Linked DNA regions of Cricetulus griseus. The protein of the gene in region 2 interacts with the protein of the main gene of each other region in a pairwise test. Links are inferred from orthologs where the notes say so. Each region holds a gene or a part of one and is shown on either strand. Other genes may lie near its edges. The genes, in order: Pdlim7 and Phf1.

Region 1 (3,901 bases), on a different chromosome or scaffold from region 2:
TGTATGCCTGCCCTAGCCTCGATGTCCGATATCTGATGTCCAGCTCCCACTGAGAGATGCAGCCTTGACACCCCTCTCAGGCTGAGCAGTGTCGGGAAGTTCTCAGGCCCCTTCGGGCTGGGCTTGCCTTGGGCTTCCTGCCAACAGCTGCATGCCTACTCTGTGGCTGGGTGGGCCTCTCTAGGCAGGAGGCTATCAGGGCAGGAAGTCCCTGCCCCTTTTTTGACCCCCTAGGCCAGTCAGAGCTACCAAGCTGGCGCCCTGGCCTCACCCACTCTGGCACAAAGTTTGCTTTGAGTCCCACTGACACAAAATGACTGATGATCAGGTGAAGGGCCCACCAATGGCGCTAAGGGGCCTAGACCTAGGCCAACCCTTTTGGGTTCTGTTGACTGGCCACTGTTGGCCATCCCAGCTGGGGCTACATTCTTGGGCTTATAAGGCAATCCCCCTGCCACAGGGAGGAGTCAGCTCCCAGCCCCACCCCCCATCAGGGCAGACTGAAGAATGGGAACAAGAATCCTGGAGGCTAGCCTCACTACACCTCTGCTTAGGGTCAAAGGTCACTACAGCCTGACCAGAACCAGCAGGCTGAGGACCTGAGTCTCAGCCTGCTCAGTCCTCACTCAGCTGGGAAGAGACCCCTTAAACTTACAGGAAGGACAAGCCATTTTGTGCCTCAGTTCATATTCTTGCTCTGCCAGGGACTTGCTGGTTGAGCTCCTCCATCCCTCCAAGTCCTGTCACTTGGCAAAGCAGGATGACAACTGCTATGCCTTGGATAGCAGTGACATTAAAGTTAGGTCCTGCCTGGCACCTGGTGCCACACACTGTTCTTCATGCTAAAGCACTTCTTGGAGACATCAACCTCCCATATTGTAAAATAGGCTTCTCCTTGGCACTCACAGATGGCCAAGGGGGCTTGGAATAGCATCAAGTACCATGTCAAAGCAGGGCAGCTGGGGGGGGGGGGCTCCCCATTCCACTATCCACCTAGCCAGGAGTCCTTGAAGTAAGGGCCCATTTGGACCTGGATGCTGGTGTCCTGTTGGCCCCTGAGCAGCTTGCTCGCTCTTGCTGTTTCTTCCCACCATTTGCTGGAAACATGGGCACCCAAGAACCCTTGGGGAGTGCATTCCCCAGTCTAGGCTTACCCGAGAGATGGAGAGGGGCACATTGAAGTCCTTGCCCCCTTGCAGCCGGAAGCCCCAAGGTGCTGGCCCCTCCAGCACTACCTTGAAGGAATCCATGGTGCCTGCTCCTGTGAGGACAGAAGAGAAAGTGAGTGGCCGCACCCAGCACTGCAGATGGCCCAGCAGGTCCAGATCTGGTCACTAGCGTTAGCCAGGTACCAGAAGGCACAGAGAGACGCTCAGCACACACAGGCACTGGGAGGCAGGTATCTTGTTGGGTTTGGCGGGGCTCCCGGCTGGCAGACCTCACAGGCAACAGACAAGTCAGTTCCCCACCCTGGCCCCTGCCACTGGGAGGGTGAGCAAAGTTCTCATCAAGTCTAACTTCTTTTCTCTCCCGGGGGTGGGCTGTGGGGCTAATTGGCACTGCTTCGCCCAAGCTAACCTGGAATCTCAGGAGGGCGGCAGGGTGAGTCAGGGGCCAGCTCCCCCTCCTTCCCCGGGTCCCAGCAGGCCGCTGGAGCCTGCTCGGACTATATAAGGCGTGTAAGCTGACACTGTGGAGAGCCCGTGGAGGGAGCACTTTAGGGGCTCGGGACGTGAGGGGGAGGGGCGAGGAAGGAGGCCGCTGCAGCGGGTCCTAGCCATTTTGGGACAGGTCGAGGCTGCTGGAAGCCAGGGTGGGACCCCGGGCACTGCAAGGGGGGTAAGAAACGGGGCGCTGTCCCCATGGAGAGTGGCGGGGGTCATGTCCCTAACGCGCGGCCAGGGAGGGGACTCTTTCTGGAAGCCAGTAAAAGTGGTGGCACACACGCACGAAGCTCCCTTCCCAACGTGACTCTGTTTCCCCTCGTCTCCAGCCCCAGCCCCGCGCTTGGTCGCGTCCCCACCGCACACGGTGGCGCAGGCGCCAATCAGCCGCACCGCCGCAGGAAGGCGGGGGCGGAGGCTGCGGCCGAAGCCAACCGAGGGGATCCGGCGCAGGCCACGGCCGCCACGCCCCCCGCAGCACCTCAGCGGGCCACGGGACCCCACGGGGTGCAGCCCAGGAACCCCCCGCGGCCGCCAGTACCTGGGTGCCCGGCTGGGCCGCGGCTCGGCGGCCTCCGGGAGCCTTGCTGGGATCCGCGCTGCGCTCTGACCCCGCCTCCGCGGACGCCGCGCCTTTTGAGCCCGCGGAAGGGGGCGGAGCCCTAGGCCACGCCCTCCCCAGGCCACGCGAGTGGACATCCCGGGGTCGGTGCGAGGCCCCACCCCGTCCCCAAGCCCTGAGTCTCCAGGACAGGGACGGAGGGTCGCGCATTTACCCGGGCAATGACCCTCCCGAGCCTGGTCGCCGCCAGCCTGCGCCCCGCTCCGGGCTCTCACCCAAGCCCCTTGCGCCTCCCACTGGCGAGGGGGAAGAGAAAGCAGCCTTTTAAAACACCCCGGCTGTAGAGGTCTTCTCTCACCTCATTCTCCCCTTGTAGGGGAGAATAGCCTCATAATACCCTTCTGTCAGGGATACGGTACAGGTCAAAGCGGCCGTGGTCCGCGCCACCGGAGATTTCAGAATTTCTGAATTCCAGGGAATGGAGAAGCAGCGAGACAGGGTAGTTGCAAGTTAGCTTTCCCGGGGCTGGGGATGTAGCTCAGTGGTAGAGACCCCTGGTTCAATCCCCCAAACCAAAGCCAACCAACCAACCAAAGCTAGGCTTGCAGGATAATCTGGAAACCAATACATAAGGAAATAAATAATAGATAAACAAATAAATAGTAAGAGCCAACGGAGTTGGAGGAGGCCCTTAGCCCCACATGGGGCCTGACAGTAAGAGTCCATCCAGACAGAGCCAGCAGTCCACAGCTCTGCGACATCCACCAAGCACCACTATTGGGACGGACTGTATCCCCTGAACACCCCTCCCGAGCACACAGTCCGTCCTGTGGGGGTGGGGTGGAAGGAGCTGTCACGGCAGAGGGAAGGAAAGCCGATTCTCCTGAGTGTTAGAGTGAATGGTGGGGGGCACGACCCCCCCCCACGCCCTCCTACCATCCTTACATACATCCCCCTTCCCCAACATTGTCCCGACGGCTCAAACTCCTGCAGGAGATGTCATCTTTGAAGAAATGCTCCTTGGTACTCTGCTGTTCTGTCTGCGTTGCTTTTTCCTCTTGCTGTCCCTTGTCTCTATGGTACTCGAGGTCTCCACGACCTCCATCAAGTCAGCTGCAGCCTTCAGGTCTCATCCCGTCCTGCTGAGGCATGCTGGTCAAGGCCAGGCCGACCACTCCCTTTCTCCATTGCTTTCTTTTCTTTTAAGATTCAATGCCCTCTTCTGGCCTCTTCAGGCACGAGGCACACATGTAGTGCACATATTAACATGCCGGCAAAACACTCATACACATGAAATAAAAGTAAAAAGAAATAAGGGTCCCCGTGTAAAACACCCATACACATGAAATAAAAGTAAAAAGAAATAAGGGTCCCCGTGTAAAACACCCATACACATGAAATAAAAGTAAAAAGAAATAAAGCTCGCAGTGTAAAACACCCATACACATGAAATAAAAGTAAAAAGAAATAAGGCCTCCCCGTGTGGACGGGCTGGCCCTTTGGCCCTTGAGTGTGCATGGATTCCAGATCGTCTAGCCTCTACTTCCTGAGAGCTGAGACCACACCACCAAGCCCAGCAGCTTCCTTGTCTAAATCACCTTTCCCCAGGCTTCTCAGGCTTTCCTCCCTCAATATCAGGCTGGTCTCGAACTCACAGAGATCCACCTGCCTCTGC
Region 2 (3,901 bases):
GGAAGGAAGGAAGGAAGGAAGGAAGGAAGGAAGGAAGGAAGGAAGGAAGGAAGGAAGGCACAATCCATCTCACCAGCGAAGCTGTAACCTCCGGACCTTCTCAGGGCCACCCCGGCACACACAGCATTCAAATTCATAGAATCTGGACATGAGGACAGAGAACGCACCTCGTTCAACTCTACAAGTGGTAGACAGCGAACGCTGGGAGGCCTGGGCGTGGGTGGAGCACAGCAGGCGGGCGCCCTGGGCTTCCTGGACAGCCTCCTTTGGGCTCACCTGTCTCCGTAGAGGAGGGGCTTGCTCAGACACTGGGTGCAGGCCTCGTGGAACCACTGGAGACAGCTCCGACACTGCAGCATTTTCAGGTTCCACCTCAGGGGAAGACAGCCTGCCTGAGACCACCCTGAACCCTCACCCACCTCCCATCACCTCGGGGCTCCCCTCAGCCTGCCCCTTCCCCTTTATTCCAGGCTCTACCACCACAGCGTCCACCCCAGAACTCAGCACCCCCACCACTCACTCCCCGGGGCCTCCACAGTAACAGTAGCTCTGCTGTCGGTTGCTCAAGTGCCCGGCGTCCCAGTCCAGCCCCTTTAGTCCATACGGCAGACAGAGCTTCATGCCCAGCATGGCCCGGGCATAGGGGCCCTTCTTCAGGGCGCCCCCCCTCTGCAGAGGAACAGGTGGAAACCTCAGAGAGGCAGGAGAGAAGGGGCCATGGGAGGCTCCCATAGGAAGTGGCAGAGAGGTGCCTTTACCTTGGTGGCAATCGCAAAGACACACTGGCGGCAGACCCAGGATGTGCCCTCTCCTTCTCCAGGGGCTGGGGCCCTGGGAACGTGACAGTCCTGGTGATAAGCTGAATAAGGACAATGTTGAGAGTCAAACACTGTGTGCGCACCTGCATTGGCTTGGTGCTCGTACACGGCAGCCTTCCCTTGTGCGTTTATATCCTGACCATGGTCCTACTGTGTGTGTGTGTGTGTGTGTGTGTGTGTGTGTGTGTGTGTGTGTGGTGTGTGTTTGGTGGGGGGGCTGGAGAGATGGCTCAGAGGTTAAGAGCACTGGCTGCTCTTCCAGAGGTCCTAAGTTCAATTCCCAGCAACCACATGGTGGCTCACAACCATCTGTAGTGACATCTGGTACCCTTTTCTGGCCTGAAGTTGTACATGCAGGCAGAACACTGTATAATAAATAAACAAATCTTTAAAAGACAGAGAGAGAGAGAGAGAGAGAGAGAGAGAGAGAGAGAGAGTGAGAGGTATGTAGCTACCCTCAACCTTAGAGAGAGAGAGAGATGTATGTAGCTACCCTCAACCTTGCATGGCTTATGTCATCTTCATCCTATGGCTCCCTCTCCCTGTACTGAGATGAGGTGACAGGGTGAAGACTGGCCAAGATAGGAGACACAAGACCCATGCTAGGAAGACAACTGGCAATCCAGAAGACCCAGGGCAAACTGTACCATTCAAGTATCCTGCCCTCTCCTCTCACCATGACGACACTTCTCACAGCTGACCAGCCGGTTCCCAGGGACCACCGTCTCAGAGCGACAGACACAGCAGAGGAGCTCCTCCCCAGGGAGGGCAGCTGTGAGGGACAAGGTGTCAGGTGGCTTACTTCAGCCAGTGTCCCCCACACCCTCCAGCTTCTGCAGTTATGAAGGGTCTCACCCGGGCTGATGTCCTTCCATAGAACCAGAAACTGGGAATCATCCTCAAACTGGACCAGACACACCTCCCGAGCACTGTCCACCTGGAGTGGGTGAGCAAAGATTATAAAGTGGGAGCAGGAATCAGAGGGAGAGGATCCATGGTGGGGCCCAGAGTTGGCTCTTACCTTTTTGATGGTGCCTAAATACAGCAGCCCATCGGTCCACCTAGCCAGCACGTCTTGACCCTCCCAAAGTCGAGGTCTAGGGCCTGAGGTGGGAGCAGGGGAAGCTGGATCCCAAAGAGAGGGTGCACCCAAGCGGCTCAGCCGGGGGAGCTGCGCCATTGCATCCTGGGAGGGGCTAATCAGATACGATGGAAGAGTTTATGAATGTTAAGAAGGCTTGGCTGCTCTGTCTGCTTTTACTGTCAAGGATAAGGGACCAAGCACCTCCAAGCTCAGTCACTGAATCCTTTAGACACCTAAGGAGGTGGGTCACCCTGGTCCCCAGCCTGGTTCTCTAGCATCCCAGCTCCCTGGGGCCTTAGGGGAAAAGATGCTTTCAGAGCCAAGGTTACCATTCATTCAGTTTCGCCTTTCCCAGCTGTTTAGAGGTATCCTAACTGGGACGCTCGGTTGCCCAGAGATATTTTGGGAGCTTTTCTGGAGATGTTTCCCTGAGTAGAGACATCCGCCTCCCCAGGCCTGTGTGTCTCATTTAGAACCGCTGTCCTGGTGCCAGGTTATGTTAGGTCACCCTCAAATTTGAGGCTGCTTGCCCTGGGATTAGATAACTTCCCCGAGTGCCCCAGGAGGGGGGCGTGTCCCTGTCCAGGTCTCCGCTACCCTACACCGCCGGTCTGAGGAGGGACTCGAGTCCCCCCAGCCCGGATCCTAAGCCGGTGCCAAGAGGCTCTCCTGCCCCCTGCTGAGCATCGACCCCCGGCCCCCTCCCTGCCCCCGCTCAGGGCCTCCCGCCTCCTTCTTACCGGTGACAGCTGGGTCAGCAGGGAGCCAGCTAGGGGCAGACCCCAGAGCCCTAGGGGCGCGAGCCCCGGCGCGGGCGGAGTGCGTGCGGACGCCGAGGGCGTGCAGGAGGAGGCCGGGGGTCCCGGGGCCCAGCCCCTCCGTCCTAGCGGCTCTGGGGCGTATGACGCAGCAGCCAAAGCAGCGGCGGCGGCGGCGGGAGGAGTCGGCCGCGGGAGGGCGGGAGGGAGGAGTAGTGGGTGGGGAGCACCAGAGGGAGGAGAAGCCGGAGGGGCGGACAGGCAGCACCTCCCTCACCCCCGGCAGGCCCCGAGGGCACCGCACGGCTGGGGGCGCGGCCGGCCGGGCAGGACGAGGGGACCCCTGCAGCCCCCTTTCCGGACGGGAGGCTCGCCCCGGGAGCGGCAGGAAATAACCCTGCTGGCAGCCAGCCTGCAGGTCAGGGCCCAGCCCCGCCCCATGCCACATCCGTTAGCTGCCCCGCCCCCGTGGCCACTCCAAGCCCCGCCTCCGCACGCGGCCCCGCCCTCCCCATTCACACTTCCTGTCGCCCCGCCCTTCTGCGCACGCGCGGCCCCGCCTGGGCGCTGCACCTGGGCAGACAGCCACACCTCCTGCCGCGGGAGCCCGGTGCGGCTGCGCTCCTCCCTCCCGGGCGGGCAGGCGAGCGAGCGGGCCAGGGCCGGCGAGCGGGCGAGCCAGGGCGGCAGGGCCAGCACCCAGCCGGTGACGTGCCCACAGCCAGCCAATGGGCAGCGGGCGGCAGGGAACCGTAGTTCCAAGCGGTGGGCAGGCAGAGGGAGGGGATGCGGATCGAGCGCGCTGGGACTCACACCAGGCCCGGTGTGGCAGCTATGGGTGCAACACCCGCGCTGAAGGACAGCCAAGTGAGAGCCCAACAGAGAAAAGCCCATAGCCTCACTGTGCAAAGCACACGTCAGAAGCCACACTTCTGCAAGCTTACGGTATTTGTTTACAACCTACCAGGACTAACAAGACCTTTATTTAAGAGCCGTAACAAGGGCTGCAGAGATGGCTCGTCGTTAAGAGCACTGACTGCTTTTGCAGAGAACCCACAGTCGCTCACAGCCATCCATCAGACCAGGTCCAGAGGACCTGAAGCCAGCCCTCTTCTGAACTCAAGAAGCACCAGGCATACACATGGCGCACATGTACACACACCCAGGCAAAACAACCATGCGTAAAGTCTACAACAAAATTTCTTTATTTGATAGTTGGGTACAAATGATGTCCACCCAAT

What was found.
Region 1: the proteins of Phf1 (region 2) and Pdlim7 interact in binary tests that used the Homo sapiens proteins (3 or more experiments, as listed by UniProt). The two-hybrid records come from large-scale screens. The link is inferred for Cricetulus griseus from reciprocal best matches to the Homo sapiens genes PHF1 and PDLIM7.

Annotation. Positions count from the first base shown.
Region 1 is NC_048596.1:274,498,436-274,502,336, forward strand, and holds the start of Pdlim7 (PDZ and LIM domain protein 7), read right to left. Parts: upstream 2,330-3,901; 5' UTR 2,206-2,329; intron 1,262-2,205; 5' UTR 1,251-1,261; coding exon 1,155-1,250; intron 1-1,154. UniProt on the Homo sapiens protein: May function as a scaffold on which the coordinated assembly of proteins can occur. May play a role as an adapter that, via its PDZ domain, localizes LIM-binding proteins to actin filaments of both skeletal muscle and nonmuscle tissues.
Region 2 is NW_023276806.1:232,131,106-232,135,006, reverse strand, and holds the start of Phf1 (PHD finger protein 1), read right to left. Parts: upstream 2,802-3,901; 5' UTR 2,643-2,801; intron 2,015-2,642; 5' UTR 1,999-2,014; coding exon 1,840-1,998; intron 1,756-1,839; coding exon 1,674-1,755; intron 1,591-1,673; coding exon 1,495-1,590; intron 860-1,494; coding exon 759-859; intron 670-758; coding exon 521-669; intron 373-520; coding exon 277-372; intron 143-276; coding exon 74-142; intron 1-73. UniProt on the Homo sapiens protein: Polycomb group (PcG) that specifically binds histone H3 trimethylated at 'Lys-36' (H3K36me3) and recruits the PRC2 complex. Involved in DNA damage response and is recruited at double-strand breaks (DSBs).